Linked DNA regions of Lonchura striata. The protein of the gene in region 1 interacts with the protein of each later gene in a pairwise test. Links are inferred from orthologs where the notes say so. Each region holds a gene or a part of one and is shown in the gene's direction. Other genes may lie near its edges.

Region 1 (10,202 bases):
CAAGCAGAGGCTCTTCAAAATTTGGTGGTTTTTTAAAAATGAAGAAATGTGTCAAATACTAGTGCTGAATTTCTTCCAAATGTGAATTTAAAAATGTTTTTCCTGTAATACATAATTTTTTTATGTGACCAATGAAATCTGCCATGACCTAGAAATTTAAAGTTTTCTATCAGCTTCACTTTAAATACATTCTTCTTTTTGAAACATGCTAATGAAAATGTTGTCCTGAGTACAAAACAGAGCAGTGTACTCAAAGCCATTATTCACCCTACTTGACAACAGAAGCACTCAGCTTCTTTGAGCTGGAATGCATTAAAGGGGAGAAAAAGACATTCAATTAATTATGCCTTTTTCAGCTGTAACACTGAAAACTCTGCTGTCCTATGTTTGATGCATAAAGCTGCTTTGCTTCATGTCTATTTCAGACTAATTTTCAGTGCTAGTGTGTGAATAAGTTAAAGAAGCATTGAGTATTTTGGCCACAACAGTTAAGACAGTATTTGCAGTACTTCCAACTTTGCTTGCATTTGAAGTCAGAACCTCTTTGTGAAGAATACACACACAGAGGCCTATGTTCTGCAGCACTGAAACATTTTCTTGTTTTAACTCCCTTTCTCATGAGTTATTGCAGTTAAATCAGGATTTCTGACCCAGCTTCCTTCATCAAATCCTTGTTCCTTCTCTCTCACTTTTTATTAGGCACCAATATGTGCAGCTGCTGCCAGACAAATTCTACCCCCTGTATTTGCATTCAGTCCCAGAGAAGTCCCTCTGTCTACAGGAACGGTGACAGTCCACCAAATGGCAAAACTGGTCCAGCACTGTGCCAAGACAGTCTTTCCCTCTCTCCCTCAGCTCCCAGCTGCCTGATTCCATCTTTCCTTTTTTGTTGTTCAGATTAGCACCAGAGGGAATACAAATAGGAGAAAAGCAAATCATAATGCCTTGCTGGGTTAAAGCTAAGCTCAGGCTCAGTCTGCATTAGTTTGGCATTAGTTTGGGCAGTGTAAGAGTCTGGCCATGATCAGGCAGTGATCAGGCCCCTGGTGCCAGGGACTGGCCATGTGATGTGCTTCATTCCCTTGGGGAATGGCTTCCCATTCAATCTGTGAGCAGAGGATTGTTTAGTCAATTCTTCTGGTTTACTTAGCAAAATGAAGATATTTACCCATGGACTTTAACCAGGGCTGTGACTGAGCTTTGATTCAAATGCAAGCTTGTCAGAGGCATTGTCACCAAATCTGAAGACTGATACCAGTTTCATATCAAATAAATTTTATTATTGCTTTCTTCATCCTACTTTTATCTGATCTTGGAGGTAATTCAAATGAACAAAGATATATGCAATTGCAATTACTACTTCCACTTAGCTACATAAGTGGGCAGCCTTGTTTCATAATTAGTCTGTTACTTCTGTTTATCATAAAGTTAATATTAAGCTGAAGTAGAACAAGGTGCACTTATTCCAGAACAAAAATCTATGTATGTGGAGCTAGTAAAGAGCAGTTATTTTGGAATTTGCAACAGCTGTTTAGAAAGCTCTCACAGTTTAAAAAAAGACCTTCACTTCCCAAAGTATACATTTCATGATTCAGAGTAATATATTTTACCAACTGCATTTCTTTTTTTTTTCCAATAGCGATTAAAATAGAGATTTTTTTTTTTTGTGCAGAGACTGATAAACTGTAAAAGGCTGCAGCACCAGTTGCTCAAGCAGAAAGAAGTGTTAAAAATGAGAATGCTGCTTTAAAAATATATATTTTTTAAAATATATATTAGCATAGGTTAGAAATGTGCTCAAAGGGTTAGGGGAGTGGTTAGGGTTAGGTTTAGGGTTGAGAGAGTCAAAGAGCCTACAGCTCCAGGAACACTGGGGCTGGAAAAGGCATGGCAAAGTGATCCTGGCAGGGCCCCAACTTTGCTGCATCTACACCAGGCAGTACCACACTACATCTGATTTTATGGTATGTAGTGCCTATTATGAATGTTACTTTTTTCTTCTTCTTCCTTTTTTCTTTTTTTTTTTTTTTCTCTTTGTTACCCCTGAATCCAGCTTCATTTCAGCTTTTCTTCGATTGATCACTGGTGAGCTGTTCACAGCCACCAGGCCAGTCCTGTGCCTTGCCTGTTGCTTTTATACCCCTGTATTCCTCAGCAAATCTTGTGCCCCCACTTCTCGAGGCTTCTGCTATTGCTCCATGCCTGCATTTCTCTGTACTGCATCACTGTGTTAGTCATAAGTCTCCTTTTCTACACAGAATAACTGTTTGTTACTTTTATTTATATAAAATGATAGTTGTACCACACACAGATAAACAGAAGTAAAACAAATTAGCCATAGACCTAGTTAATTATGGAAACTGCTGTCACAGTTAACCAATGAAAAGATACAGTAGGGTCAAGAGAAGTTCAAACAAAGCAAACCTGACAAATCTCAGTCCTTGCACATTCAGAACAAAGCTTATGGAAAATTACTGAGAGTGGCAATACCATATTCCAGGGCTGCATGTTTCAGCTGCAAAGGTCTGGAGCAGGTAAGAACAAGCTGCACACACAATCACATAATCCATCATGTTTGGGCATTTTTTTAGACGTGATTATGCTGGCATTTTTTTTCACTTTTGGGGTAGAAAAAAGCATGTAAGTATTAGAGTCTCAGTTACCTAAACTTTTGAAAATAGAAGTTAGCTCAAATACTGCATATTTTTTACAGATAAAATTACATGGCATAGTAAAGGGTAGACAACAAGGGTAGCGGCAAAGATAGGCAAGCACTGAAATTGTCTAGTTCTTTCTCAAAAGATAAAAGAAAATCTACAGACTCCCCAGCAAAAGAACATTAGACTCTGCTTTGAGATAGATAATCTCTTGATGTCTCTTTCAGTCCTGTTGTTCTCTATAACTAGTTTGGTTTTTTATCTTAAATAAAAAATTACATGTGCATTCTCAAATTTGTCAGTTTTTCTTATCTCCTTTGTCTTTTTGATAGATCACATGTGATATACTGATGCATATCTCCATAAATCCTCTAACTCAGTTTAGGTTTTGGAAAGATTGCAAGTGGCCATTTTTTTTCAGTTTGCTTTATTTTTTTATTTTTTATTTTATCATGTCATTCTTAATTATATATAAAAATAATTTCTAATTTCACAATCAGCTATAAAAATAGTGAATCTTGTGGGGCTTGGATTGCTATCACTTACTTTGTTTGTATAGTTGATATACAGATTATTTATTTCTCATTTAGAAAAATACCCATTCCTGAATTCTCTAGTTGGTGTTTTGATATTACTGCTATCTTTTTTTCCAGTCACATGCAATCTGTTGTGTTCCTGACTTGACCTGACATCTCTTTAATATCAGTGGGCACAGCCCTCTAATTCATTACTTCCTTCATAGCTGCAATGCTGAACCATGGTCTGGACAGGGCATCTTGATAGACAGAAGGGAGATCTCTAATCCTCTAACATATCTGTAGTAATTAACTCAAAATCAATTAGAGGTAGCAAAACCTATCTTTTAATGTGTCTTTTTAATGCAGGATCACTCCCAGTACTGTAGTATTGAATACTTTTGTCAAGGCTTAGCCTAAGGATCTCAAGACTGTGATGGAGACATAACTCAGTCTCCCAGTACCATCTCTATTCCTTCTAGTGATACCATTTTAACAATAGAGCTCTCCTGTTACTTCAGTCTGAATTTCAAAGTTTGGCTGATCTGATATTTTGCCACTCCTACCCTGAGACCCATTGTATGCACAGAGCTTTTGCAGCTCATCTTACTTCTGCCCAGAGATGGAAAACAAAACCCCAATAACAAAGCCCCTCAGGATTTCCCTAATGCAACCATGGATGAAGTTTGTGAGGATGAGAAAAAAAAATATCAAATGGACACTTAATATTGTATGGTAATGGTTTGACTTGGTTCTTGTCCAAACAGGTACAAGACCTCAAGTGAAAGGAAATGTGTATCACACTGGTGTGTCTCATTACAGTGTGTTCTTCAGGGATGGAGATGCAGTGGTCATGGCAGAACCTGGAAAATGGAAGGAGAAGACTGAGGGATGCCTCTACTCAGTTGGGACAATATCTAACAGGATGAGCTCTGCAGGGTTTTTGTACAACACCAGCTGGAAGCCGAATGAGCAATTAATGATCACACAATGTTTTGAAGTTGTAGAATGTAATTTATTGCCCAAAGTAGCTCTTTGGAGGGGGAAATGGTCTTAATATTCTGTGCATTCATTGACCTTTCTAAAGACCATATTACAAACTAAAAGGATAACGAAGGAAAGGTAGTTTACAGCGTGAGGTATTTTCTGCTGCAGAGCTGCTCAACAGCACCAGAAGGGTCACTCTCTTCATTCTGTTCTGGAATAAAAGCATACTTTGTGAAGGAATTCACCTTTAAAGGGATGTCTGCCTAAGTGCTCTTCTGGAATAGCTCTTGCAGAATAATGTGGTTTTCAAAAGCTGTGCCAGCTGCTTCCTCTGTATGGACAAAGCCTTGCAGTCCCAGGATTGGACTTTTGGTAATTACACAAATTGCTCAATGTTTCAAATGGGCACCCTACAAGCACTTCTGTGGTGTGCTGATGATGGCACAAGGCTGTGGGTTTTGTTGCTTGGTTTCCTGACTTAGCTAAGAAATGGCTTGGAAAAGGTGCCCTTAACCTCCCACAGGCAGAGGGTGGGGAAGTTTTCACAAGGCCCTTGAAACAGGCTGCGATGCTGCTCCAGTCCTTCTGCCATTCCAAGCCCACACAAGGGGCAGCCGGGAACTCTTCCTGCTCACAGGAGATGTGATGTCTCCTCGATATGCAATCCCGTACCAACTGTGCCACCAGAGGTGAGCTAAAATGGGCGACTGCTCTCCAAATACTGTCTCCAAGTCTGCAGATGTCTCGCAGAAGTGTTCATACCCTAAAAAGCTTTTTTAAAATGGCAGATTAAGTCATGTGTGTGACTCGGCCTCATTTCCTCGTCCTGTTACTCCAGGCAAGTCACTTCTCTTCCAGCTGACAGGTCTTGGGCATCCAATCCAAAAACGCCGGGTATGCTTGGTTGAGGAAGATGCCTGAGCGGCACCCTGGAAAAACAAGAGGCAGAGCTGGGTAGAACTAAATGCCTCCCAGACCAACCCGGTTTTAACTAATGCTGCCTTTCCCAGCTGTAGAGTGGGGGCAACGCAATATTCCCGGTAGACGGCGACTACAGTGTTTGATGAACCATGAGGGATGGACTGATGAGGACGGAGACCGAGGGGTCTCCCAGCGCGGGCCGGCACAGGGAAGCGCGGCGCGGCTGAGGGAAGCGCGGCGCGGCTGAGGGAAGCGCGGCGCGGCTGAGGGAAGCGAGGCGAGGCGCGGGCCGGCGCAGGGAAGCGCGGGCCGGCCGCAGGACCCGCCCCGCCCGCAGGCGGGAAGGCGGCGGGGCCGAGCCCTCAGGAGCCGTGAGGCGGGCGGCCGCGGCGAGCGCGGAGCCTTCGCCCGGGTACTGCCCCCACCCTCTCCCGCGGAGCTGCCCGGGCATGAGCTGGGGGTTTAATTACTTTTCTAATTTTGATGGGGATTTACGGTGCTCTGAGCGGGGGAGGGAGGTTCAGCGGTCCCTCGCCCTTTGGGAACAGAAATGTACATCTCATGAGGAGGCAGCTGGCAAAGAAAAGCCGAATAAATCGGTGTGTTGATGACGATTAATCAGTTATTTTCCTTTGAGGCAGCAGATGTGAGGTCGCGCCGCGGAGCGCCTTGGGCAGGTCGGATCCCCGAGGCGGGGAGCCGAGCTCTGCTGCCATTTTCCGCCGGCCCGAGCCTGGGGGAATTGCAGGGAGTGGGTCTGTCACACCCGCAGGCTGGAAGGACACCACGGTATCCAGGTCTTGCTCACCTGCCCTCGGTACTTGAGGTGGTGCAAGATTGTTGGTGGTTTCTCATGGGTTTGCTCTGTTGTCTCAGACCTTCACCCTTTTATCTGCTTCACTGCAGGTAGCGGTGACTGGAATCCTTCAGGTGTGCCAGCACACACCAGCAGCAGGACAACGCTTGACTAAGCAGGAGGACTTTTTTCGTATCTAAAGCTTTTAATAGGGTGAGGTAAAATTTCTCCGTTTTCCCTAATAGCCTCCAGGAAGGCACGGGTCTGGGTCTGCCTCGTTTTTCTGCTGTGAGATGCCAATTGCCTAAGGATGGGGAGTAGGAGAACAATCCCATAACCTGCTCAGCAGTGGTTAAAGTGCTGGATTATGTGCATTTGATGAGGACATTTTTAATGAAGAAGGAGATTGTAATATAGTTTTAATGCCTCTTGCATTACTTGTTTTTCTTCCTTCAGTATTTGAAGCTAGGGGATTTTTCAAATTTCCCAAAGTATTTTTTAATTAGTGTTTTACTGTAATTATGTGAAGGCATGATTTATCACTCCATAATTGTCAGAATTCTGAAATAGAAATTAAATATATCATGACATTTTCAGAAATAACCGATTCTATAAGAATATTTCCATTAAATACTAACAGAATAAAATAAGTCTGAAATTCTGATATTCTTTTCCTTTCTTTCCCAGCCTCTATATACACAGGATTCTTGCAAGCAAATTAGTATCCATTTAGAAGCTGAAAAAAAGGCCTTTTGCAGATATTTAGCCTAAACTATCCCAACTTCTGTTAGACATAGCCCATCTTATAGTTTGTGGATTTTGTTAAGAAATGAGCAAGTAAATATATGCACACATTTTGATGTGGTGGTCTACAAAACCTTTCATCGTCCAGAGCTAGAACACCAAGTGTAAGCTCACAATTTAAATAGAAGCAACTTAACCCATTTACAAAACTAAAAAAATTATAGAGTAGTTTGGTTATAAGATCAAATTTCTAAGGAACTACTTCGTATTCACTATTCTTGCATTCATAAAATTTAAGGAGGTCACACTTTACTCATTTAACCATGGTGTCACTAAGTGCCTATTCCAGTTCTAGGCTTTGCTTATAGAAAGTCACACAGAGAGGGCAGTGAAGCTGTGCTGGAGTCCAGACATGGCAAGTTAAACATGAAAAGACATGAAATGAGCTCTCTGTATATGGGTTTGCATAACAAAAGTTACAGATTTTTCTTACCATTCTTTTGTTCTCTCCATGCAAGCATACTCTTTACAGCCATTACCTAAACATCTTCAGCATTTATTAGTCATTTTGAACCTCAGCAAGAACTTCAGAACAAATACAGCTTTAATAATCTGCTCTCAAGATACATAACTAAGGAGTTGTAGCCGTCTCTGCACTGTTTTGTGGGTTTTCTGTCACAGAAAGATGGAGAGGCTGAACTTTTACATTGCCTTTCCATTGCCTATTTTGTCTACAACTATGCTGACTTTTGTCATAAACACACAGACTGCCTTTAGCATTCTCACCAGAATAAATTCCACTAGTAATAATTAATTTAAAATATGTTCCCAACTCCAAAACTCATCTCTGACCCAAGATTCTCACAAGGGAATGAGATCTCTTCCCAATACCTATGAAGCCCTTTCTAGCCAAACTGGTTCATCTGAGTGAAAAACCATAGATTTTCTCCTTTTGGCCTGGTAGGTCAGATAATGAAGAGTTGGAAGCAGAATCCAAATTTAAATCTCTATATGATGTCATACTGACATGTTTCTGTAGTTCAAGGACTTCTTAACAGTCCTTTTACAGACATTTACTCATTTATTGCCCCCCCATGACTGTCTTTGTTTGCATTTCCCACTAGTGATCAATACTTTATTGCATGCTCTTTCACGATGAAGGCCATGGAGGATCAAGTAGTCCAAGAAGAACCAGGATACCAGGATGATGAGGTAAATTTGTTATTGATTGAAAACTATGTGCAGTAAATGTTCAAAGGTATTTTGATAGTCTTAAGAAACCCATGGAGGGACAGGAGGCCCCCAGAAACCATCAGGGAGTTCAATGCATCTAAAATTTTGTTCCAGTCTACTGCCAAGAAAATCTCATTCCCCTAGTCCCTGTACAGCCTGGCTTTTCAAGTAATTTTCATTAACCTTTCAAAAGTTGTGCACAGTTTTTAATGGGATTATCATTATTTCATCATATTTTACACTTCTGTAGTAAATGCAAGGGATCATCAGCATGAAAAGAGTGAGAAATTATGGTAGAGAAGCTGCAGATTATGATGATGCTAACACAAGTCTTATTAGCACAACAGAGGATTAATTGCCTGTGAAGATATACTTTGTGGAGATGATAAGAAACATGTATGTCTTTTTGGCTCACTATGGCTTTGCTTATTTCAGTTGTCCAACAAGCTATGTATTATTTGTGAAAAATCAATAAATGTTTGCAAATCTGAAACAGTCATGTAGCAAGATAGATGTAATAACAAGAAAAAGCAACATCTATTTTTATTTCTGCTATTTTGTTTAGGAATCCTTTTTTCAGGATATTGACCTGCTTCAGAAGCATGGAATTGTAAGTATTAGCAATCACTTGATCACATAGAATTGTCATTGTCCCTCAAAAGCTACTGTAAGGTTGTTTCTAAAATTGTATATACATTGATGCAAATAACTGAAATTCCTCCTTGCAATAAGTTCTAACTCAGTCAGTGGAGACAAATTTTGCCTTTGGTGACAAGACAGATTTTTAGAAAATCTCATTCACATCAGTTTCCTAAATAAAGTGTCAAGATACTCAAAGTATTTAGCACCTAGCACTCTTGAAAAACCAACTGCTTGCTAATTTATTTGAAAACTGTGTGATAGATTATTTCCTGTTCCTGCCAATCTTTGTAATTACTCCTGCATTTTTGGTGCCTGTGAAATCACGCTGTGACAATAGTTACTATACTATTTTCAGCATACTGTGCAGGGGGTAGAGTAGGAGTGAGAAAAATATTAGTTGCTAGAGAAATAAGTGGTTTATTTTCTTAATCAAATGTGAATTCCTATCCTTGTTACCATCATCACATAAACATCACCTATTTATTTGAATTACAATTATTATATGTTTATTTAGGAGACTGGCTCATGTATTGGAATCCTGTTATAATCAGAGTTATAGAAGCAGAATAAAAAGTTGGGTTTGCCTGAAGTAATGTGAGATTTAATAAAAGTGACTCCAGACACACAAAGATGGGAAGGACATATCACAATGACTCATCATTAGTCAGCACTGTAGTTACTGGGCTGACCAGGTCAGCAGTGCAATTGTTGGCAATTTTTTTTTATTGGAAGTTCATTGGCAGTTTTAAAGATAGTTCTGAAGAAGGATCACATGGTTGGGAGTTCAAATTATGGGGCAACATAGGAAAAATAAACAAATTATGCTTAAAAATTTAGCAAGTTGATCAAAGAGGGTGACCTGAGCTGGAAGGGAGCTGTACTACCCTATCAGTATGAAACAAGGCATGGCATTCACAGAATGATACAAATGTATGAAAGAGCTTGAAAACTAAGAATAATGGCTTAGGCTGTTCTTCTGGGGTTGTAAAGGTTTTCTGCTCCTTTCAATTATTTTTTCTTCTTTCTTCCAAGTGGTTATTCCCACACCTCAGAGGAAGTTTTTGTTCTGTGCCAGCTAAAAGCTTTGTGCAAACATAGGATGACCTATATATGTTAAATTCATTTACCTGGAAAAACAATTTTTGTGGGTTTAGAATTTTTTTTCAAGGACTAGAGAGAAAAATATTTACTGGATCTGCCAGTGTGCCCAGAAAGAGAATCAGATTAGAAGAACTGAGACTGTGATTTGGTGATCAAAAGTGTTTAGTAGGATTTAAGGTGCTGTTACCCCTCAGCCTCTGCTGAGTGTCACACACTATCACAGGATGAGAAATAAGCTTTGAAATAAACATGACTAATTTCTCACACAACCCCCCTCCCTTCTTATGCTCTATGTACCCACACACTCTAGACAAATTGATGATATGTCCAGTTCATAGTTTTTTCCAAAGAAAAATCTTGGCCAGAAATGGTAAATTGATGTATTATCCCACACCTTTCACAAAGTATGCTTTCTTATGAGTAATCTGTTCTTGCTTTTACATTTCCAGTGATGTCAGAATCATAAAATGAGGTGAGGGAAGGTAAAATATGTCAGTAGGGTGCTCTCTGAAGTTGTGCTGTTCCCAATTTATGAAAAACAAATAGCTCACTCCAGCCCAAAGTGTCAGTCACATCTGCAGGATACATATGTTTTAATCTGGACAT
Region 2 (10,448 bases), on another chromosome or scaffold:
GAGGACTGGGGCAAGAAGCCCAAAATGGCTCTTATCTGTTCAACACCATGTGACCGCAGCCTTTTTGACAGCACTCTTTGTTTTGTCTACCCCCTAGTCTTTGTGCAAAAAAGTGATGAAAAACAAGTTACAATAAATCCATGTTACCTAGTTTCAATCAACAGCTATGTAAGGACAGAAATACTTACTCTTTCATAGCAATAGTGCTGTGCCAGAAGCAGAAGAAACTACTCCCATCTATCTTTTGGAAAGGCTTAAGAGGTTATCATTCCAACACAGCAGCACAAGAGCAAACACTGCTCTAAATATGTTCTTTAATCTTCTGGGAGGGAAAGGTTTCATCTATTTATGACTCTGCTCTCACCTAGGGGGAAAAACTGCATGTCTTACTTTACTCTTTTGAAAAAGGTAAAGAAGGTGACACATAATGAGAAAGTTTCACATAATTGGTAGCATAAAATTATAGCAAAGGACATTGCTTTAACATAACATCACTCAGAAAGATAATGCAAAACCCAAAGATTAGGAAAAAAAATAAAGTATTTTTATTTTACAAGTATAAAAAACAATGCTTAAAAATCAAAATGCTGGAAGATACTCTGGAAAACCTGGCTTCTGAAGCAGAAGACCTCTCTGTGACAACTCCCAAACAACGTTAAAGCTCCTGAAAATTCTGCATTCAATAAGCAAAGATATGATCCAGCTGAAGTAACCCTTTTTAATGGCTCTTTAAACCCCATAATCTGGGAATTATCTGACCAGTCTCTGCAGAATGTGTTGTAGCATTCTGTGGCTACAGTGCAAAAGGGTTGGCATGAATTGTAATGTCTTTAATGCGAACATCATTAAGAGGTCGATAGGTTTTCTCATTCACAGGCAGCTTCTCCAGCTCATCCAGGGTCTCCAAGCCATCAATAACTCTGCCAGAAAAACACAAGAAAATTGCCTTCTAATAATGCTTTAAATTTCACTGTTGATGTGTGTCAAAACATTTTACAGTCAAGTATCACAAGGCAGGGACTTTGCAAGCAAATGATACAAAATAAGACAACCAATACATTTTATGTGGCAAATAATGTACTTTGAAAGGGATTATTAAGCATCCACGACAGACTCTGAGAAGAAGTTCAAGCATTTGCATGTGCCCTGAAATACTCAGATCTCTCACACACTCTGACAGAGGCGTGCAGTTGAATCACTTACTTTCCAAACACCGTGTACTTCATGTCCAGGTGAGGCTGTTTGCCGTAAGTGATGAAGAACTGTGATCCATTGGTGTTGGGACCATTGTTTGCCATGGAAACTACCCCACGGACACTGTGCTGAACAAGGGGAAAAACCTCAGCATGAATACACATCTGTGAAACCAGAACTAACCTGGGCAAAGTGCTCTATGACTTAGAGCTCTTCCTCAATTATTAAGAACAAATCTTGGTTGCTAATATATTCTATCACAGTCAATAATTAGCTGCTCAGAATGGCTCTTACAGTGAAAAACTGCTTCTTTGCCCACTACATGAAAAATGCTGTCAGAAATTCTCTTTACTTCTGCTTTCTGTGATGAAAACTCTCAAATCTCACTTGCCAAGCACAGAAATGCCTGTTCCTATTATAATAATAAGCTATTGTTCTCCAACCAAGAGAAAATTATTGCCGAGAAAATTAAAATGAAAACATAAGTGCATATTGAGAGCACATAAATACCTTTAGATATTCACTGAATTCATCTTCAAACTTCTTGCCCCAGATGCTGTTACCTCCTTTCCCAGTGCCTGACAAAGAAGCACCACAGTAGAAATTACTGGATTTTCAGACTGAAAAACCCAGAAATTATGTTTGTTCTGTTACAGCATTTTACAACAAAGAGTCCAGACAGCCTGCAATTAGTCTGAGGCAGGCTCTTGATACTGCACTAAGACATAACTCTATATAAGGAATCTATTAAGTAGCAGAACAAAACACTGACACATCCTCAAATTAAATTCAGTATGAGTATGAACAGACACAACTGAATCAGCTTTTCTCCCAAACAGCTGACACCGTCTGGGACGTTTTCCCCAAATGATTTAGATGCAGCCTTTCAGGCAGAAACCACACAAAGCACATTAGTACCTGCTTCTAATTTAGTCAACAGAACCATCATATTTAGTGAAAATAGCTGCTAAAACTCAAGTTTGTAGAATGCATAATTACTTAAAACTGGGGTAATGCCTGCACTTCTGTAAGCCCTCCACAAAAAAAACCCCTCATCATAAAAAAACTCTTATCAACAATACAATAATTCTTTTATTTTTATTTTACTTACGTTTTAGTTTTAATACCCATAATTCCTTTTTATTTCCTTACATTTTATTTTTATGTACATTTTTTCCATAGAAAGACCCAGACAGAAGAATTTACCTAATGGATCCCCTGTCTGAACCATGAAGCCCTTTATATTTCGGTGAAATACGCATCCATTGTAGTAGTTACTAGCACAAAGAGCCAGGAAATTCTACAAAAATCAAACAAACCATATTAACAACTGAAAAATAGTATTATCTTACTAAAATGACAGCATTGGCAAGACCAGTGCTTTTACCTCTGCCTTGCTTTGTGTGAATTCCACAGACTTTTGCTGCAGAGTAGTCATAAACAAATCATAGATAATAAACTCCTTTGATAGTGTCACACACAAAGAATACAAAGCTTTCAGTGCAAGGCTGTCTGACTTGAGGAACAAACAAGAAGCCTAAGACATTCTCTCAAATATCATTCCCATTCAATAATTTTATTTGGCACATGTAATTTTGTAATCAATAACTTAATGCCTCAGCTTTTTCATTAAAATAAATGCATTTTATTTCAATTTCAATTTATTGCAAAAATTCAAAACTGGGGTGCCTGACAAACCGTGAGTCTCACTCTTTCAAACTAAAATCAAGTCTGTGGGGATATGAGTAAACCCATGGAAATTTGGGAATCCTAGGCTGGGTGCTGTATTTTGCCTTAAAGGCAAAGGACACTTTGGGAGATGCTGGAACTTCAAAAGAAGCACCCCTTAACTAAACCTTATCAAGAGAGAAACAGGCATGAAACTCCAGTCAGTATGACAGAGTGCACAAGTTCCATGATTGGAACAGACACTACACCAGCTTAAAATGTTGGCGTTCCATTACATGAAAAGGTAAAATTGCAAAAGCTACTTCACCTCCTTCACAGGCTTGACTATTGCTACTGCTGTTTCACCACTAGGCAATCCTACTCCTGGTGTGTGACTTACTTCACAAGTCTTTGGAGTACGCTCACAGAACAGTTCAATTTTAATATCTCCCACATCCGTATGCAGTGTGACAGCCTGAGCAAAAGGCAGAAAACAGTAAATAAATCAGCAATAAAATACTAACATACACTGTTTTATTTCCCAGTCCCATCAAGAACATAAGTAAGTTTGCACTGCATTGAAGTTTGCAGTGCAAACTGCAAGTTTCACTGTTTCAACATTTGGCTATAAGCAAGGTTACTGTCACAACCAATCCACATTTCCAGTGAAATCACCAGAAAGCACTCAGTTTCATTTAGTTTCAGGACAAATCAAGTTTGCCATGGTAATGCAGTACCTGTTGCATGCTCCACTCCAGAAATACATTATTCATTTGCCAACTCAGGGCCTACTCAGTCACTTGAAAGTAAAGGTGAAGAATCAAGTTTGTATCTATTTTGGATGGTGCACACACCGCGCTGCTTTACAACTAGAGAAGCAACTGATGCCTGCAGCCTTTTGATTAATAAGGCTAGTTCTGAATGGCAGAATGTATAATGTGCCTTCACAGATAAGTAAATCTCAAAATTTAACTTATAAGTTCTTAAGAAAAGTAAGTTACCTTCATAAAATTTAAAATCAGCTTACCCAGTGACGTAAGCAAATTTATCTCTACAGGACATATATATTACAGTGCTTCTATGGAAAGTGCTAAACTATGCAAAAACAATTACTGTGGGGATAGCTGTACAGCAAAACTAATTAAAATCAGCATCACATTGATACTGGCATACTGCTCCAAAAGTATACAAGTAAAGGAGATAGCTGTCCACAATGTCCACGAAGATCCTATAGAAGGTGTATGATCAGTTTAAGACATATATATCTATTTCTCAAATTGCTAACTTTTTAAAAGCCTCTGAGCACAGAGGTTTACATACACTGAATCAGAGGTATGTTCTTGCAACTAGACTAATGCTTCTGTGGCAAAAGAAACCAAACTAGATTATCAAATACATGCCAAAGTAGCATTAAAATCTGGGATCTCTAAAGTGAAAGCATAATGATGTGTTAGACTAATGTAAATCAACCTATTTTCCTTTTCATAGTATCTTTTTATAAGTTTGAAATGAAAACCCTGAACTTTTCATGAAAAATTACTCACAGCATCAGAGTAAAACGTGTAATCCTTTGAGACGGAGAGAAGCTATTCGCTTTCCAAGAGATGACCATTTCAGAAAACATATAAAATGTGCTTTTATTCTTACCATGCCTGCTTATCAAAATCTGAGGTAGCCTTCTATACAGCAACTTCCTGTAAACATAAGAACTTTGTTGGGTTTTTTCCTACCAACCCCCATATGGTTTTGATTCTAAAATATTTGTTGGTTACATGCTTTTCCACCACACAGTTCTAGGGTGCCATTCCAATGACTCTGTGGCTAAATTTTTGCATTGAGCAACTACACAGCATAGAAAAAATGAAAAACTACTAGAACAAGACCACTTAGAGAACGGGGAAGAGGGTAAAAACACTCGTTCCTAGGATGAAAATTCATACCAAGCAATCAGTTTTTGCAAGTATTGTGGCAGTCGGCAGAACAGCAGATGGCAGAAATTCATAGGTAAAAGCCACATGCCACTACCTAACAGATGCGTGATTTGGGGCCAACTCATGACAGCTGTGAGTGCTTGAAACAGACAGGTACCTGCACGCAACCACAGGATCAGACTTTTTAACTTTGTAATACTTTCAATTAAAGTGTTTAAAATGCCGGCAATAAAAGCGCGGCTACATAGAAGCCGAGATATATATTTAAGCGACAATAGGTTCACTATACACCCGCCCTCGCCGGTGAAGCCCCGGTCCCGTGTCCCCACCTCAACCCACCTGTCCCCGCTCCCCGTCACCCACGGCAGCCGGAGCTACCGCTCCCTCCCTGCCCAGGTACCGCCACCGAAATGCCGCGCACAGAACAGCTGGGCTCCTCCACCGGCGGCACCGCCGCCCGCCGCGCTCGGAGAACGCCTGAACCTGCCGGGGCTGACGCGGACCCAGCCCCCGCCGGGGACAAGCGGCGGCGCTCCCGCGGGCCTCCGCTCCCTCCCGGCGCTACCGAGGGGCCGCCCCAGCCGCGCTGAGCACGGCGGAAGCGGCGGAGCCGAGCGCAGGTCCCGCCCCGCCGCGCCGGCGCTGCCCCGGCGGGAGGTGAGCGAGGCCGCCGAGGAGGGAGCGCCTGTGCGGCCGGGCTCTGCGGGTCGGCCGTGCCGCGGGAAGAGGGGCGGAGCTTGAGCTCCGCGCGCTTGGTGCTGGCCAGCGGGGCGGCGTGTGCGGGAGCCCCGGGGTGGGGAGGGGCTCGGTACCGGGTGGTACCGGGTGGTACCGGGTGGTGCCGGGGGTGGGCGGGCGCAGCGTCCACAACCCGAGCGGCCGTGGCTGCTGTTTGCCTGGTGGGTTCCCGGGGCTCACGGCGGCCTGTTTGCCCCGCACAGGTCTCGCATGCTGCTGTCTGTGCCGCCGCTGCTCCGCCCGCCTCTCCACCGCGTCTGTGCCTTGGGCCGCCCGCCCGTACGCGCCCTCATGAACCTCCGGGAGCTCGTTTCTGCTCTGAATGACTTCGCATCCCCCGCTCTGGCTGAAAGCTGGGACAATGTGGGATTGCTGGTGGAACCAAGTCCTCCCCACACTGTGAACACCCTTTTCCTCACTAACGACCTCACTGAGGAGGTGATGGAAGAGGCAGTGCAGAGGAAAGCAGACCTCGTTCTTTCTTACCACCCTCCTATATTCGCACCACTCAAGCGAATAACGTGGAAAACCTGGAAGGAACGGCTGGTGGTCCGAGCCTTGGAGAACAGAATCGGGATTTATTCTCCACATACGGCGTACGATGCCATACCTCACGGAGTTAATAACTGGCTAACAAAGGGACTCGGTGAGATTCTGTTAAGAGCAAACAAGTTAAAATTATTAAAGATGTATGCTATTTTAAGTGGGATCTTTCATCATTTGCCTTCTAGCTTTTACAGGTGTGATTTGAGGATTGTTTTTATTTTTCCTAATATTTTTATGGTACTGTAACCTTAAATACATTTTAGGACATTTTTCTTGGTGGTATATACCAGATAACAACATAATAGTTTTAGATGTATGACTCTACTATTGGATGTGTCTGTAACTGGTGGCGCATATATATTGTCCACTGTAGTTGCAATTCTGATACCAATGACTTTAAATCACCACCTTGAAAGTATGAGATCTCAATATTTGCAAAGCATTTAAACTATGTGAAGTTATTTTAGATTTTTATCCTGTATTGTGGCTCACAGATTACAATAGCTGCATCTTTTCCAGTCTGTTATACAAACTAGGAACTCCTTCTGGTTTTGGACAATCCTTAGGATAAAACTGATGGCATTGAGACTGGCAGATAATACATATCCATCTTTGGACTTAAAACAGACTGTGCCTAATGGAGACAGAATGAAAAGCCTCAGTTCTAGTCAGGAAAAAAGGATTTGAGTGCAAAATTTGTACCTTTTGTGCTGCATCTCTATAAGGTATGTGCCAAATCAGTGTTAGGATACCTACCCTGCTTTATAAACCAGCAATCTTGTACTGTTTTCTCAGGCACCTGTACTTCTGTCCCACTGCATCCATCAACTGCACCAAGCTCTCCAGCTGAGGGCACTCACCGGGTAGAATTCTGTGCAGATGCTGAGCATCTGGATGCAGTGCTGTCCAAAATCAAAGACATCCCAGAGATCTCTTGTCTCACTACTCTCCCAGCCAGGTATCTGCTCCACTCTCTAATGTTGTATTCTTCCTGTTATTTGAAACAATAAGTTGCTGTAATTGTATTTTACTGTTCTAATAATTTTGTTCCTCTGTGCATTGCTGCTATGTTTTTCAGCAACTGAATAACAATCTTAAGGAATAGTTGTCCCTTTCCGGTCAATCTATGTCATGCTAAAAGGTAATAGCAACTCCAGTTTAGCATCACATAGATTAGGGGTGTTAAAAAAGAGTATTAACCAGAAATTTGATCGGGACAGGTGAGTTAAATTCCCATATTTGTTTTTTCCAAGACAAGTCTAGGCTATTACAATGCTGCCTTTTTTCCTTTCTCAGTGTTAGAACAGCCACTGGGATAAAATAATAATAATTATAATGCCAAAACTAATAATTATAATACTCTAATATAGTAATTACAATTCCAAAATTTTATCTAGCTTCTTAACAAGCACCAGGCATATCTTTCCTCAGGGTTGAAGGTCAGGAGCAAACACGAGTCAGTCTCAACTGCTCTCAGAAAGCACTGCTGGAGGTGGTGGCATTATTGTCCCAGAACAGCCTTCTTTATCACAAGACCGAGATTCTCTTACTACAGAAGGTAACAAAATCACAAAATTACTTCCTGTGAATGTATTACTTGTGTGAGCTGAATGCAGTAGTCAGTGGCATCACAGCTTTCCAGTGCTACCCCAGTGCTCCGACATACAGGCATACGGGAATTTGAAGCCACACACATTTTCCAAAGCAATGAAACTATCTATGTGGTCTGTACTAATTCTTAAATCAGTTCCAATAGCTGGTGTAGTTGATATGTTACATTTGAGAACATCACATAAATACTTTTTTGTAAAGTTCAGTGTTGCTCCTGCAAACCAAATATACTCATCCTGTTAAAGTGTGGAAAGCACATGGAGTCAACTTTCTCACGGTAATTTAAATTTTTTTCAGCCTCTTCTTCCCCATACTGGAATGGGACGCCTGTGCACCCTGAGCGAGCCAGTCTCCTTGTCAGACATAATTGAGCGTGTCAAAGGCCACCTGCAGCTCCCCCACGTCCGCGTAGCCGTGGGAGCTGGCAGGACACTCGGTAAATGGGCCTGCAAGCCAGAATGCCTGCTAGGACTGGCACTGCAGGAACACAGGGAGCATGAGTGTGTGAACAACACTGGGAAACACTGCTGCCTTTACCACGTTTACCTCCAAGAACTAGGAAGCACTGTTAAGAAATAGCATCTTAGAATTTACGGTCATGTGAAGTCTCATCTGTATTTTAATCGGATTCCATAGTACGCTGGTTGACGTGGTAGAGACTGAACAAATTGAAGGAAAGATAGCATTTTTTGTAATTTATATAATGACTAAATTTTTTATTTTCCTGCCCAGGATATCAGGCCCAAAGGTGTACTGTTTCATTTTATGTTCCCTTTTGTGACTGAATGTTAAAATTCAGAGCACTCTAAGAGTAAGACACTTTATGGTATCATGAACACAGAACTGTGTTTTGATGAAAGATAAGATAAAGAAGGTAAACTAACTCAAACAGTGGAGTCATTAGTAAGATGTGGAGTAAACATCCTCTTAATCCCAGCTACCTATCCCAATGTCCAAGGAGCACAGCTGGTAGAATTTGTGAGAGTAAATTTGTTGAGACAGAAATCTTATTAGACTGACAATTGCACTAAAAAATATATGTCACTGTCATATATGTAATAGCTTGGAATTAGCAATCACAGCAAGTGGACAATTTTTATTGGCATCGAGCAGCTTTCAGCTTGCATTAGGACTGGCCCTCTGAGAACTGAAAGGTAGGAACCAGTATATCTCAGAGGCAAAGTGCTGCCTTAGTGGCATTATTAGTTGGGAAGCTACTGGTGGTGGAACAGAAGAGTCCTGGAAAGAGTAGTGGCCTGCCTATTAGAGTTCAGAAACCTAACTAAGACCTCAGTAGGAGAAAGGTTGCCAGCAGCCAGCCTCTGTGCTGGAGTTTTCTGCGAAGTTTCCTGTCCCTTGAAAAAAATCTACTTATCACAGAGGATTTTGCTGTATTGTCAGAGGTGTTATAGGCCCATGACTTTCAAACTGACAGATGTCTTCTCCAAAATCAAAGGTAGTAGTTAACTGACTCTAAAATCAAGGTAGTAGTTAACTGAAACAATTACTAGCAATACACACATGAGGGTTCAACAGAGGGGAAGGAGCTTGCTTAACTGTGGCACATTCTACCCTGCAGAATCACCACTGAAGAAAGTTGCTCTGTGTGCTGGTTCCGGGAGCAGTGTACTGAAGGGAACAGAAGCTGACCTCTATCTCACAGGTAACAGACTGCTGTTTCATTATTTTTATAAAAATAGTCATTAGAGAAAAAACAAACCCCAGCAATGACTGTTGAAATACTTGACTGCAAAGAATTACCTGTTATTTATAATTGAGAACCAATTAGTTAGCTATTGGAATGACAAACTAACATTAAAGATAACATGGATCAAACGGCAGTGTGGCACAGTGAAAGATACTTGAATTAAAACATTGCTTTACAGCATTTATTTCAACACAAAATCGGTGCTGATGGCAGCGAGTTGCAACTTTAAGTGTGTTTCTCCTTTGGCAACATGTATTTCCTCTATTCCCTACAGAATTCCCTAATGAAGAAAGAGAATATAATGTAGTGTCTACAGAGCCTTCCAAAGAAACTCTATGGTGTGTCTAGCCAAAGGGACACTTAGTCCATTATTCTCTCTTCTAACAGTGGGACAGCTATTCCCTGTGGCTCAGCAATGTGAAGGCTGCCTTGCATTCTTGTAGGAATTGCTGCCCCTTTGCAACCCCTGCAGAGGTGACCCTCAGGCTTCCCAACTGCTTTCCTCCATCCTCTTCCAGACCACTCTGAGCATTTTTATTTTCTGCCCAAATTAGTGTAATTACAACCACTCAAAGATGGCAAGGAATTTCTGTGGTTTGACTCAGCTGCATACAGGGATATCAGCTGAACCTTTCAAAGGACCCTGGGCCAGGAATGTTCCATGTTCCTACTGAGCAGATGGTGTTGCATTTCTGCTTATGGCCTACAATCCATTACATCACCACAGCTTTTAGCTGAGATGCTCCATACATTGCAGAGACCTGGTTACCTGAACTGTACCATTCATGATCTCTGTGACATTTCTTTCTCAAAATGGCAGGAGAGATGTCCCACCATGATGTGCTGGATGCAGTTGCCAATGGGATAAGTGTTATTCTGTGTGAGCACAGTAACACTGAGCGAGGATTCCTGTCAGAGCTGCGTGACGCACTTGCCATCCACCTACAGAACAAAATCAACATCATTGTGGCTGAGAAAGACAGAGATCCTCTGCAAGTGGCATAGGGGGGAAAGATGGGAGAAAGAGAGAAAATTCAGTAGTGTTATCTTGC
Region 3 (10,626 bases), about 710 kb from region 1:
ACGGTTCCGAGGAGTAGAGCCAGAGCCCCGAGATGGTAATGTGCCTTCTGAGACAGTGGCATTATAAAGAGGGGTTTAATTTAAGGTGCCCATCGCTTGGACTCTGTAGAGATAATCTAAGAAATAATGGCTGTCTTTTATGGGATGGGACTTCAGGCAGTGTGTCCACCTGTCCTCCTTTTGACTAGCAAGTGCTATTCTTTGAAAATTCAGCAGTAGAGAAGACATGTATCTTTTTGTCCTCATGAGGGGCTGGGTGAGGAACATAGCTTTTGATACATCCCAAAGATTCTCATTGGTCTCTTCAAGTATTGGTGCTACTCTTCCCCTCAGAATGGTCTGTGAAGGTGCTTCATCAGTGTGGGTTGCCCTGATGGGGAGAAAGATGTGGAGGGAGCTAGGGGAAAGAATGGAACTTGACAGGTTGTGCCCATGTGGTAACATGAAGGTTACACATAGAGCCATCCTTCCTGAGTAATTACTAATCTAGTAAAGGAAAGCGTAACAAAAATAAATGTACTTATTTTAACAAAATACTCTAAGCAATAAATATTCCTCTCAGTGAAACAGAAGAGGCTTTGCAATAGACTTGTCCCAGACAATAGAGATTAATTCCTGTCTGTATTGTTTTTTTCTTTAGGAATTGAGCCTGGTCATGTCCCTGGGTCGACAAGCATCCCCTTCACTGATTTTCTCACAGAGTCTGGCTTAGAGAAGACCCCTGAGCAGATCCGCACTCTGTTCCAGGAGAAGAAGGTGGACCTCTTAAAGCCAGTGGTAGCCACATGTGGCTCTGGGGTCACTGCCTGCCATGTGGCTCTGGGGGCCTACCTCTGTGGCAAGCCAGATGTTGCAGTGTATGATGGGGCCTGGGTGGAATGGTACATGAGGGCGCAGCCTGAAAATATTATTTCTGAGGGAAAGGGGAAAACAGTGTAATGAGTTGCATTGTTTCCCAGCTGTGCACTTAGCTTGCCTTGAAATAGGATTTGGAAAAGATGGGTTTAGCATTCCTGATTAAGTGTCTTGAGATGAAGGCATTGGATAAAAATCATGCGCACATGGTGCTTTGGCACTTTCTCCTTACCCTGCTGCTGCTTAGGAGGATGAAGATGACAGCAGTTTTGGGCAGCCAGCTCTAGATGACCCTGCTTGAGCAGATAGGGTGGAACAGATGTCCTCCCAAGGTCACTTCCAACCTCAACCATTCTGTGATTCTGTGACCATTTCACCGTATCAGATGGATGGCAGAGAGTGCTGCTGCCAGCATGGGGAATTAATTGAGTTAAGCCAAACTCCTGACTCAAAGCATTCAGTCATGCTCATTCACGAGATGGTCATATTTATATAACTGTGCCTCATAATCATGTCCTCTGTTTCTGTCCCACCCATGTATGTTATGGCCACTTTGAGTGCAAAACTTTATGGAAAGAAATGACTCTTAAATGAGCAAATATAGCATTGAGGTTGGCACTTAGGCTAGAGACTTGAATTGTATTTCTTCTTGTACTTGGACTCTAATTACAGTGTGTACTTAAGCCAGTCTTGTAGCCCCATGGTCCAAAATCCCCCTTGAGAAAAAGAAACGATTCTGGGATTTAAACAATGTAAATAAACATGTTTCAAGGTCTTTCTGCTGAATTGAACTTACCTGAGTGTTGCTTAGGTGAATACTTTTCAGGAGTTCTGTTTTTATGGAATCACTTTGTCCACAGTGAGATTCAAATGAGATATTTCCTTCTCTCTCTGAGTAGAACCACACCTCTTATCCTCAACAAGCTCTTTGACCCAGGAAAGACAATGGCATGCCTCTCTCTTGGGTCTCTGCACCATCTGCTTTTGGTCCTTGTCCATTTGCTTTTTTGCCTTAAAGTCTACAGTTGTAGGTTACACTGGATGTCAGCTTACACTGTGAAAAATGGACTGCATGGGTATTTTAATTCTTGCCATGCAGCCTTACCCTACAAACTTTGTAGAACTTAGACCTTCAGAGGAATAGTGCATACTGGCACCTATTTTTCCCCAAGACATTTTTCTTTTATGTCTAAAAATTGAAAGTACACCAGGTATCCCTGATAATGTTCAAGATTTTGTTCTCTCTGGGATTTTCTCCTCTACAAAAAATGCCCAAAACAAAACGAAAAATCCCACAGAAACCTTCCACAAAAATAAAAAAAAAGAAGACTGCATCTCTTCTGGCTTACTTACTTCTGACCCTTGTCACAACAAACAACACAGATAGGCTGATTTTATGATTATGTGGCCAAATGAGTGACTGCTCTGTTTCTCCAGGGAAATTTAGTTATTAGGAAAATTGAAATATTGTTTCAGACTTATTTGCAATAGATGCAGGGAGCTGGCTCTTGTGTGCCCTTCCAAAATATTTTTGATGCATCTTAAGCAATGGGTTTTTTTTTTGCCACTGACCCAGCAGTCCTGGAGGTCAGTGGGGAATCTCTCTGCTTCCTCTTGAGACTGAGATGCTTTTCTCTGTCCTGTGTGTTGCAGGGAGGTGTGTGGCACAGCCCAGCCTGGAGATCTCCACCTGGAGATTGCAAATTACGTGGAAAACTTCCCTCTCCCTTTGCTCTACATTTCACTCCTGTGGCTTGATGACATCTAGCAGGGCCCTTCCCTCTCTCTGGTATTTATGCCAAGCTTGGCAATACTCAAGTGCCCTTCTCGGGCTGAATTTTTTGCTGCAAAATCTCAGTGATTCTTCCCAGCTTTTAGCAAATCTTTTCCCAGATGCTTAACTTTGCCTTCATTTCTTCACAGAGGAGAAGCTGAGATCGTCTTTCCCACAGCAAGATACTTTGTTTTTCTGGGGTATTCCCTCAAATATCATGTATCAAAAATCTATCCAAGAGTGTCTTCTGCTGTTACCCCTCCTTTTAGTTTGGATCCCTTCTGGTGATGCATGCAAAGCACTGAGAATGTTGTGAAGACCAAGACAATGTTTTCAAAGCCTGGAGACTTGAAAAACCTATTTTGAGCTATAACAGATGCTACTGGACATATGGAACAGCTGAGGGGACTTACACCAGGACTATAAATGTTCTGCAGATCTTTATGTCCCTGACTCAGTGGGTGGGTTTCCTATAGGAACCAAAAGCTGGGGAGAAGTAGATATAATGCAAATCGCTAATGTTCATGACTTTCTTGTGGAAAATTTGCTGCAGAGAATTTGTAATAGCGTATCTTTGGTGGAATAGGTCTCATGGTAGCCAGAAAGGTAGCCTAAACAACAGCCCTGATGAAAGAGGAAGGTCACACTGACCTGTGGCCACCTTTAGACTAGAGTTTTTACAGGTCTATATAAATTTGAGAATCCCAGGCCAGTATGTAAATTCTTTATTGGTTTATTGGTATATTTTACTATCTGAAATACTTTTGTCCTGAAGGAGGTCTGGATTCTGTGCAGTCTGGCCTAGTCAAAAGTAATCCCATAGTCCCCTGTCCTTCACTTGTCTTCTTTGTCATCTGCCTTCCTCTTCCTTCTGTCCTCCTCTCTAGCAGTGAGGTTTCACTATTTAAGGCTTCATTTCCCAGTAAACTGTGTTCCTCTGCAAATTTTTCCAAATTCTAAAGCAGACCTTTTTCTACTAGCACCACTGCCCCAAGCACTGCATGAGCCATAGTAATTGGTGTTGCCTGCAGGGACATTTCATATTCCTCCCATCTCTCCTGGTCCCAGCTTACAGCCAAGTGCTACACAACCATTCTGTCTCCTTCTCCCAGCAGTCTTCAGCAAAGGTGCTGCATGATGCACATTCACACACAGGCTTTGCATGCTGCTTTGAATTCAGGTATGTTGCTCACAGATCTCGTGCAGCACAAGGAGCTGGAGGAAGATTAGCTTGCCTATATGCCATGGGGCCTTTCTCTTCATGCTTCAAAATGCTTGGCTCAGCTGGCAGTCAAGCTGGACTTTATTATTCAACTGTGTCCACCCCCAAGTCCACTGTAGGGAATTTTATTTGCCTGATTCACTGTTGGCTTACTAGCAAAATGTCAGAGCATCACAGGTTCCAGCCACAAGTGGAGACTGGTATTGATGGAACAAAGTATGCCTTGAATATAGACCACCCTGGACTCATAAGCAGCATTGTCATGGGGGAGGTTGGAAAAGAAGGTGTTGAGAACAAGAGATGGACCCTAAAAGGGAGAAAGAGGCTGAGGGGATATGAGAGGAGGAAGAGGAGAGGGTGAACCCTTGATAAAAGGGAAAAAATTAAAGGCAGATTTCTTGCAGGGGGAGATAAGGGGCTATAGGCTGCCACTCAACTGCTGCATTCATATTGGAGAGCCACAGTCCTCACCCCAGTTCCATGCTGGAGCTGCAGCCAGCACAGACAGGATCCTGTAGTTCTCACACACCAGAGTGCAGGGCAGAGGTCTCCAATTTGCTGTGGTTTGACCCAGAGCCAGAATTAGGAGGACAGCAGTCTGACAGCCCAGAGCTGTGTTGCACTGTGACGCTTCAGCCCGAGTCAGTGTTAGTCTGAGCATTTTTGATGCATATTACTGCTCAGTGGAGACTGGTCCCAGGGCTGGGCAGTAATTTCGGCCAGAGCTTGCTCCATATAGGTAGACAAAAATGTTTTTTGATGCTCTGTTAATGGTCATTCTAGTGCTGTTTCAAAATTATTTGAGTTTACAGCCTAGACCAGCTGAATTGTTCTGTACTCAAATTAGCTGAAGGCCAGCAATCTTGAAACCTCTCCCATGTTGCCCTCTCTTCCTCTCCTCCCTTTGGCACTCCTCCACAGAAGGAGCAAAGTGCACATGCCATCTTTGTGAAGGAAATCCTGGGTGATTTGGGGGAAGGGCAATGCTTCCTTCTTCTGTGATAAAAGGGAGTGATTTGCAAGTAAAAGAAGAAGGAAGGACAAGAAGAAAAGGAGCGTAAGAGTGAAACATTATGTTTCCCTTTACCCAGCCCCTTCACTCAATAATGCCCCACCTCCAAAGGCACTAAGATCTAAATGCAAGAAAAAAAGTGTTGTGTGTCTCTGCAATGCTGCTGTTGCCTTGTCAAGGAAGAGCCAGGAAGTTGCTTAGGTGGAGGAAGGTTTTGAGCCACAATGGGGTGAAACACCAATGTTTCCTTTCCATTCTTATTGTGCTCCAGCTGCTGGCAAGCACAGCTGTACTTAGGTGGGAGTGGGAAAAACAGAGCTGTTGGAGAGAGTTTGTTCAGGTTGTGTCCGTGCTAAAGGAGTGTATTTGAACAGAGTCCCCCGGGGCATGAACTGCTGAGCACCAGGCTCGGCCTGGCAGGAGCGAGTGCCAGAGGCAGAGCTAGATTCTATTACACTAGATTGGCACATCAGCCTTGGCGGGTGATACACGCCTGAGGCAGAGGTAAAACTCCACAGAGAGCTGAGTTACAGCCTGAGCTCACTGTTTCCGAGACACAAACAGGGATGGCAGGAGCCCAGGGGAAGGATGCCGGGGGTTTGTGCTGGTAGAGCAGGCCAGAGCGGGAGTTTGCTGGGTCAGCAACTCCTCTGAGTTGGAAAAAAAATTATTCCTGCCCCCTGTCAGCACTTCATGCAGATTCAAAATACATTTCCCAGAACTGTCCCTACATATGTTAGCAAGAAGGCAACTGTTTGCATATTTTGCTGCAAGAAAGTGTGGCAACTGATGTGACACTGAATGGTGAGCCTGGGTGGTGGAAGTCCTGAAGGGAATGCTGTGAAGTACAGCACTGAGGTTATGCTTCCTGTCTCCGAGGAAGCTTGCAGAAAAGAGCCAGGTCTGGAAGCTGGCAGAGTACCAGCTGCAGGGCTGAGGTCATGTGCTGCAGTGCCTTTCATTACTGCCTCCTCATTGCAGGAACAGCGAGCTGGGAAAACTACAGTTCCCATCACCCTTTTGTGCATGAACCTGCGAAACTACAGTTCCCAGAACCTTTTAATGAGCCAGAGAGGACGTCTGTGGAAATAAATGCCGACGATTTTTGCATAACACCCTGTACCTCCGGAGTGCTGACTGGCCCATGGTCTGTGAAAACGGGAACAGGGGAAAAGCCAGGGAGTGTCAGCTCTGCGGAGCTGTCGCTTTGCCCACCCCAATAGCTGCAGTGATATCCTCCAGCGCCGAGCAACCTTCGTCCTCTCAGGACTCCCTTGGTAGTCACAGGGAAGATCCTGGTCCCCGGGAAACACGGCTGCTGCGGAGGGAGAGGCAGATAAACTACAGATCCCGGCATTCTCCGGCAGGCAGCACCTGCGGCAGTCCCTGCACGCCGTGGGGGAGGTGGGGGTGAGGATGAGGATGGAGGGCAGGGAGGAGATGCAGGACGCTGTGGGGCTACGCTGCACCTGGGACATTCCGCCACCCGCTGGCACCCAGGCCAAGTGGGTGAGGCTCAATGTCGGGGGCACCGTCTTCCTCACCACCAGGCAGACCCTGTGTCGGGAGCAGAAATCTTTCCTGTGTCGTTTGTGCCAGGGCGAGGAGCTGCAGTCGGACCGGGTAAGGCAGCTGGGTTGCCTCCCGCACCGTGCCCCACCGAGCCTGGGGAGGGCTGGAGGGATTCAGGGACGGAGCCAGACCCCAGCAGCTGCAGGAGCAACTGAGTGAGAAATGCCTGCTCTTTCTGCCCCCCTCCCGGGAAGGATTTCCCGTTGTCAGATTCCCCCTTGTTGTAGCCTGGCACCTGCCTTCCCGAGCTGGGGAAAAGAGAGGCCATCTCCCCTCTGCTCTTGCTCTCCTTCCTCTTTGTCACCCCACATCCTGGGTCTACTTCCCAGCTGTGTTTGCCTGACTCAGCCTTGTTCCTTTGAGGGGATCTCTGCTCTCTCACACCAGGCCGGGATGCACAGTTGCACAAAGAGACTGAGGCCTATTTTTTGGGCTTTTTCAGCTGGATTGATTTATGCTGAGGTGGGCATGCTGAGCAGACCAATACAGGAGTTGAAGTGTAAGCTGCACTGATTTGGCTAGGGACACTCAGGGACCCATGGTTTCCAAAGAATCTTAGAAACAGTGGACATTTTTGCTTAGGTGTCTATTTTCTTGTATTCTAGGACATTTTACAGTTGATTACAGTTTTCCTTGGGTTTTTCCTCCTTGTGATCTATATCTGTTGCTAGGATGAAACTGGTGCATACCTAATAGATCGGGATCCCACTTACTTTGGACCGATTCTGAATTTCCTCCGTCATGGGAAGCTGGTCCTGGATAAAGATATGGCTGAAGAGGGTGAGTTGTGGAATTCAGAAGGATCCCACTTACCACAGTCAGGAAAAACAGGACTTGTGGTCAACCTTGTCCGTCTCGTTCTCATTGTGGATGTTGATGGGGGAGGATTTCAGAGAGCTGTCCCTGCAAAGCATGATGATGTCTCCTTTACTAAAGGGGTTTGGAGTGCGTGAGGAAGGCATCCTTGCAGGTGTGGCATCACAACTGTCCATCAGAGATGTCACCAAGACAGTAGTAGGCAAGATCTCAGAGCCTCAATAAACCATTTTTTACTGGTTCCTGATCTACTTTTAACCAGGCTTTATGACTGAATTTTCTATTAATGTCTGTTTCTAATTAGGAATGAAAGCCCAGTAGACCAAACAAAACCAAGCTCATCTCTTCTACTGACTGTAATAAAGACCATCATTAATCAGTGATGTGCACTGTATGCTGCTTGTGCTCTCATGGGTTGTGGACTGCAGAAGTTCCAGTGGAGCAAGTCAGACAAACCAGTCCCTCCCCTGAGGTTGACAGTGGGTCCAATAGGATGACTTGGTGACATCACAGTGTTACCAGACAGCAGTCCACAGTGCCTTGTTATTTTTTGGATGCTAGGGTCTAATAAGGAGCCAATTCCAAATACAAATTGTGCTGTCCAGCCCTTACCAAGCACAGTTTCTGCATGGTCATTTGTCTTCTTGCCTTTCTTATACATTTTTACCTAAAGCAAGGAAATTTTCTTCAGAATAGTCTTACCAGTTATAAATCCAAAAATATACCTAACTAATGATACAGGATTGTAGTAAACACAATTCTGAGGTGTTTCCTACTTGACATTTCTTGTAATCCTGAGGTCAGACAGAGTTCATCCACAGGTTTTAATATCAAATCTGAAATGTAAATAGGAGTCCAGTTCATTTGCATTGCCTTTTTTTTTATCCTGCTGCAAACATTCAGACTGGTGTAAAACTAACCCATTAGACAAATTCATTGCTGAATGAGAGACACAGAAGAGGTCTGAGTGTGTCAGGTAGTGAAGGATCAATCTCCCCATATATATTTTCTTTTTACTGCCCGGGGGACATGTGAGCGTTGGCTTCTAGCCACCTTTCCCTCACTGACTTTCTGGGAACCACTTCCCTTTTCCTGAAGGCCTTTTAGCAAACAGGTGAGTCTCAAGAGAGGTGATGGATGCAAACACCACCAAAAAACACCCCCAGAGAAAAAAACAAAACCATTTCTGTTTACCTGCTTTAAGTTGAAGCACAGGGAAGAGAGCCAAAGATCATATAAAGTCATATGGGGCTGCAACTCCAAGTGGCCTAGGAGGCAAGTTAGGCTTTTCTTGGGTCTTTCGGTGACTTGTCAGAACCGCAAGTTTTGGTTTCCTGCCTTAATAAGAGAGTCTGAGCAAGTTCAGAAAAATGGTCATTGAGAGAGACTGGAGCATGCAGTTGTTCTCCTTGGCCAGGTGTCTGGGAAAGGTATTAGCAGTCCTCAGCACAAGCCTTCACTGGCAGTGCCTATTTGTGAAGTAGCAGGCAGCATAAGGAAGTTGGGGTGAGCATTAGAAACAAGATGCAGAGGGCCGAGTTTCAATTCTCTGCAGTAAAGGTTTCACGCCTGTTAAAAAGTAAGGCAGTAATATAATTTCTCCCTACGGACCTTGTGAAGCTCAGAATTGATCTTTTGCAAGTCAAAAATAAAGATGGACTGCTAACTTTCTGTCTTTGTGGTCCTTCTGTCTGTCTTTCTCAGGGATCCTTGAAGAGGCCGAGTTCTATAACATTGGTCCTTTGATCCGAATAATCAAGGATCGAATGGAGGAGAAGGACTACACAGTGACACAGGTATGGCAAGATAGAGGGGGGTGGGGAAAGCAGGGTTGTAAAAGGGGGGAGAGGTGAGTCTAGAGGGAGAGAAGACTTGAGAGAAGCAGCAAGGAATGGAAGGAAGTAACTAAAGATTATGTGCTAATCTCTATGCAGCAAAATCTTGAAGGGGACAAGCTACCACCCATGAATGTAGTTACAATAAGCAAGTTGCAGTCTTGCTTTACATCCCAGAATTAATGCTGGATGTAGCCCCTGAAACTAAGGAAGCTCCTCTTGCTTTTGGAAGAAGGTAGCTGGTTGCTGTGTGATATAGAGGAATGCTTGTGAGGAGAGCAAACCTGTCATGTAGAGGAGGACTGGTGTGGGTAGTCCTGGGATTGTAATAACAATGAAGAGCATGGAAATACCTGTAGAGAAACCTGGGGGAAATAGGTGAAGAGATGGCTGTGAAAGAGTTAAATGCAGACAAGGAGTCAATCCTGTGGCACAATCACAACCTGTCTTGGCCAGGAATCTTTGAAAATCTTTCTTACAGGGAGGATTGTCTACTATCTCACTTTTCATCTTGTCTGCCTCAGGTTTTAAGCCTCCAGCAGCACAGTCACTTTGTGCTGCAAAGCCCCATCAGCATTTGTTGCATTTGCAAAAATGATTTTATACTTACAAGTGCATACTCCCCATCAAAAGAGGGCGGTATCTTCTGGGGATAATGCAAGGAGCACTCAGCTCAGTCCCTGCTTTTCAGAAGAGATACTGCTCTTACCTCCAATGACAGCACAGGAGAAAGCTGGATTGTGGTTTCCACTCCCCTTTCACCTGGGGCATGGGGGAGAGGACAGATCTGTCAAGGAAGGGTGTATTACTCCTTCATTCTGCAGGAGGGGAACAGCTTTTAGCATGTGACTGTAGTCAGTGTGCTCTGCAATTTTGCTCTCAGGTGCCTCCTAAGCATGTCTACCGTGTGCTGCAGTGCCAGGAAGAGGAGCTCACTCAGATGGTTTCCACTATGTCAGATGGATGGCGCTTTGAGCAGGTATGGATAAGGCAGAGCAGGGTGGGAGGGAGTTGCCTTCTGGGGAAAAGATCATGGATACCATACAGTTGCCAAGCAAGGCTCCTTCCCTCTCTGAGAATACTGGGAAGTCATTGACTGAGCCATCATGCTCAATCAATGACTCTTTCTTGCCCTTTCTAGAGGTTTAGAGGATACTGTGTGAGACTAGACTACTTTGCATCCTGTCTGACTTCTCTCCTGGTTCTCTGTGTTGTCTCCTCAGCTTAGTTATGAGGCTTTCCAACAGGATTATGGATTGGACTCAGTGCTGCATGGTGGGCTTTCTGCCTTGTTCCCCAGGTGGAATGAGTGTTTCCAGGAATACAGGTTTGTGATTCTTGCTCTCATCTTTTCTAGCTTGTGAACATTGGCTCATCCTATAATTATGGGAATGAGGATCAGACAGAATTCCTGTGTGTGGTCTCCAAGGAATTGTACAACTCCCCCAATGGCCTGAGCTCTGAGGCCAGCCACAAAGCCAAGGTGAGATAAACTTTGCTATGGCCTGCTCCCATTGCCTATGAGATCCTTTGCTCTTTG

Evidence for each region.
Region 2: the proteins of DMC1 (region 1) and NIF3L1 interact in binary tests that used the Homo sapiens proteins (3 or more experiments, as listed by UniProt). The two-hybrid records come from large-scale screens. The link is inferred for Lonchura striata from reciprocal best matches to the Homo sapiens genes DMC1 and NIF3L1.
Region 3: the proteins of DMC1 (region 1) and KCTD17 interact in binary tests that used the Homo sapiens proteins (3 or more experiments, as listed by UniProt). The two-hybrid records come from large-scale screens. The link is inferred for Lonchura striata from reciprocal best matches to the Homo sapiens genes DMC1 and KCTD17.

Annotation. Positions count from the first base shown.
Region 1 is NC_134607.1:23,806,838-23,817,039, reverse strand, and holds the start of DMC1 (meiotic recombination protein DMC1/LIM15 homolog), read left to right. Parts: upstream 1-6,078; 5' UTR 6,079-6,089; intron 6,090-7,744; 5' UTR 7,745-7,775; coding exon 7,776-7,832; intron 7,833-8,418; coding exon 8,419-8,463; intron 8,464-10,202. UniProt on the Homo sapiens protein: Participates in meiotic recombination, specifically in homologous strand assimilation, which is required for the resolution of meiotic double-strand breaks.
Region 2 is NC_134610.1:27,186,142-27,196,589, reverse strand, and holds the start of NIF3L1 (NIF3-like protein 1), read left to right. Parts: upstream 1-5,741; coding exon 5,742-6,177; intron 6,178-6,872; coding exon 6,873-7,035; intron 7,036-7,508; coding exon 7,509-7,635; intron 7,636-7,985; coding exon 7,986-8,124; intron 8,125-9,267; coding exon 9,268-9,351; intron 9,352-10,216; coding exon 10,217-10,401; 3' UTR 10,402-10,448. Other genes in the region: PPIL3 (peptidyl-prolyl cis-trans isomerase-like 3), read right to left, coding at 794-920, 1,204-1,322, 1,705-1,772, 2,401-2,494, 3,263-3,337, 4,510-4,512. UniProt on the Homo sapiens protein: May function as a transcriptional corepressor through its interaction with COPS2, negatively regulating the expression of genes involved in neuronal differentiation.
Region 3 is NC_134607.1:23,099,343-23,109,968, forward strand, and holds the start of KCTD17 (BTB/POZ domain-containing protein KCTD17), read left to right. Parts: upstream 1-6,086; 5' UTR 6,087-6,279; coding exon 6,280-6,486; intron 6,487-7,106; coding exon 7,107-7,215; intron 7,216-8,955; coding exon 8,956-9,047; intron 9,048-9,969; coding exon 9,970-10,065; intron 10,066-10,443; coding exon 10,444-10,569; intron 10,570-10,626. Other genes in the region: MPST (3-mercaptopyruvate sulfurtransferase), read left to right, coding at 1-35, 641-939. UniProt on the Homo sapiens protein: Substrate-adapter for CUL3-RING ubiquitin ligase complexes which mediates the ubiquitination and subsequent proteasomal degradation of TCHP, a protein involved in ciliogenesis down-regulation.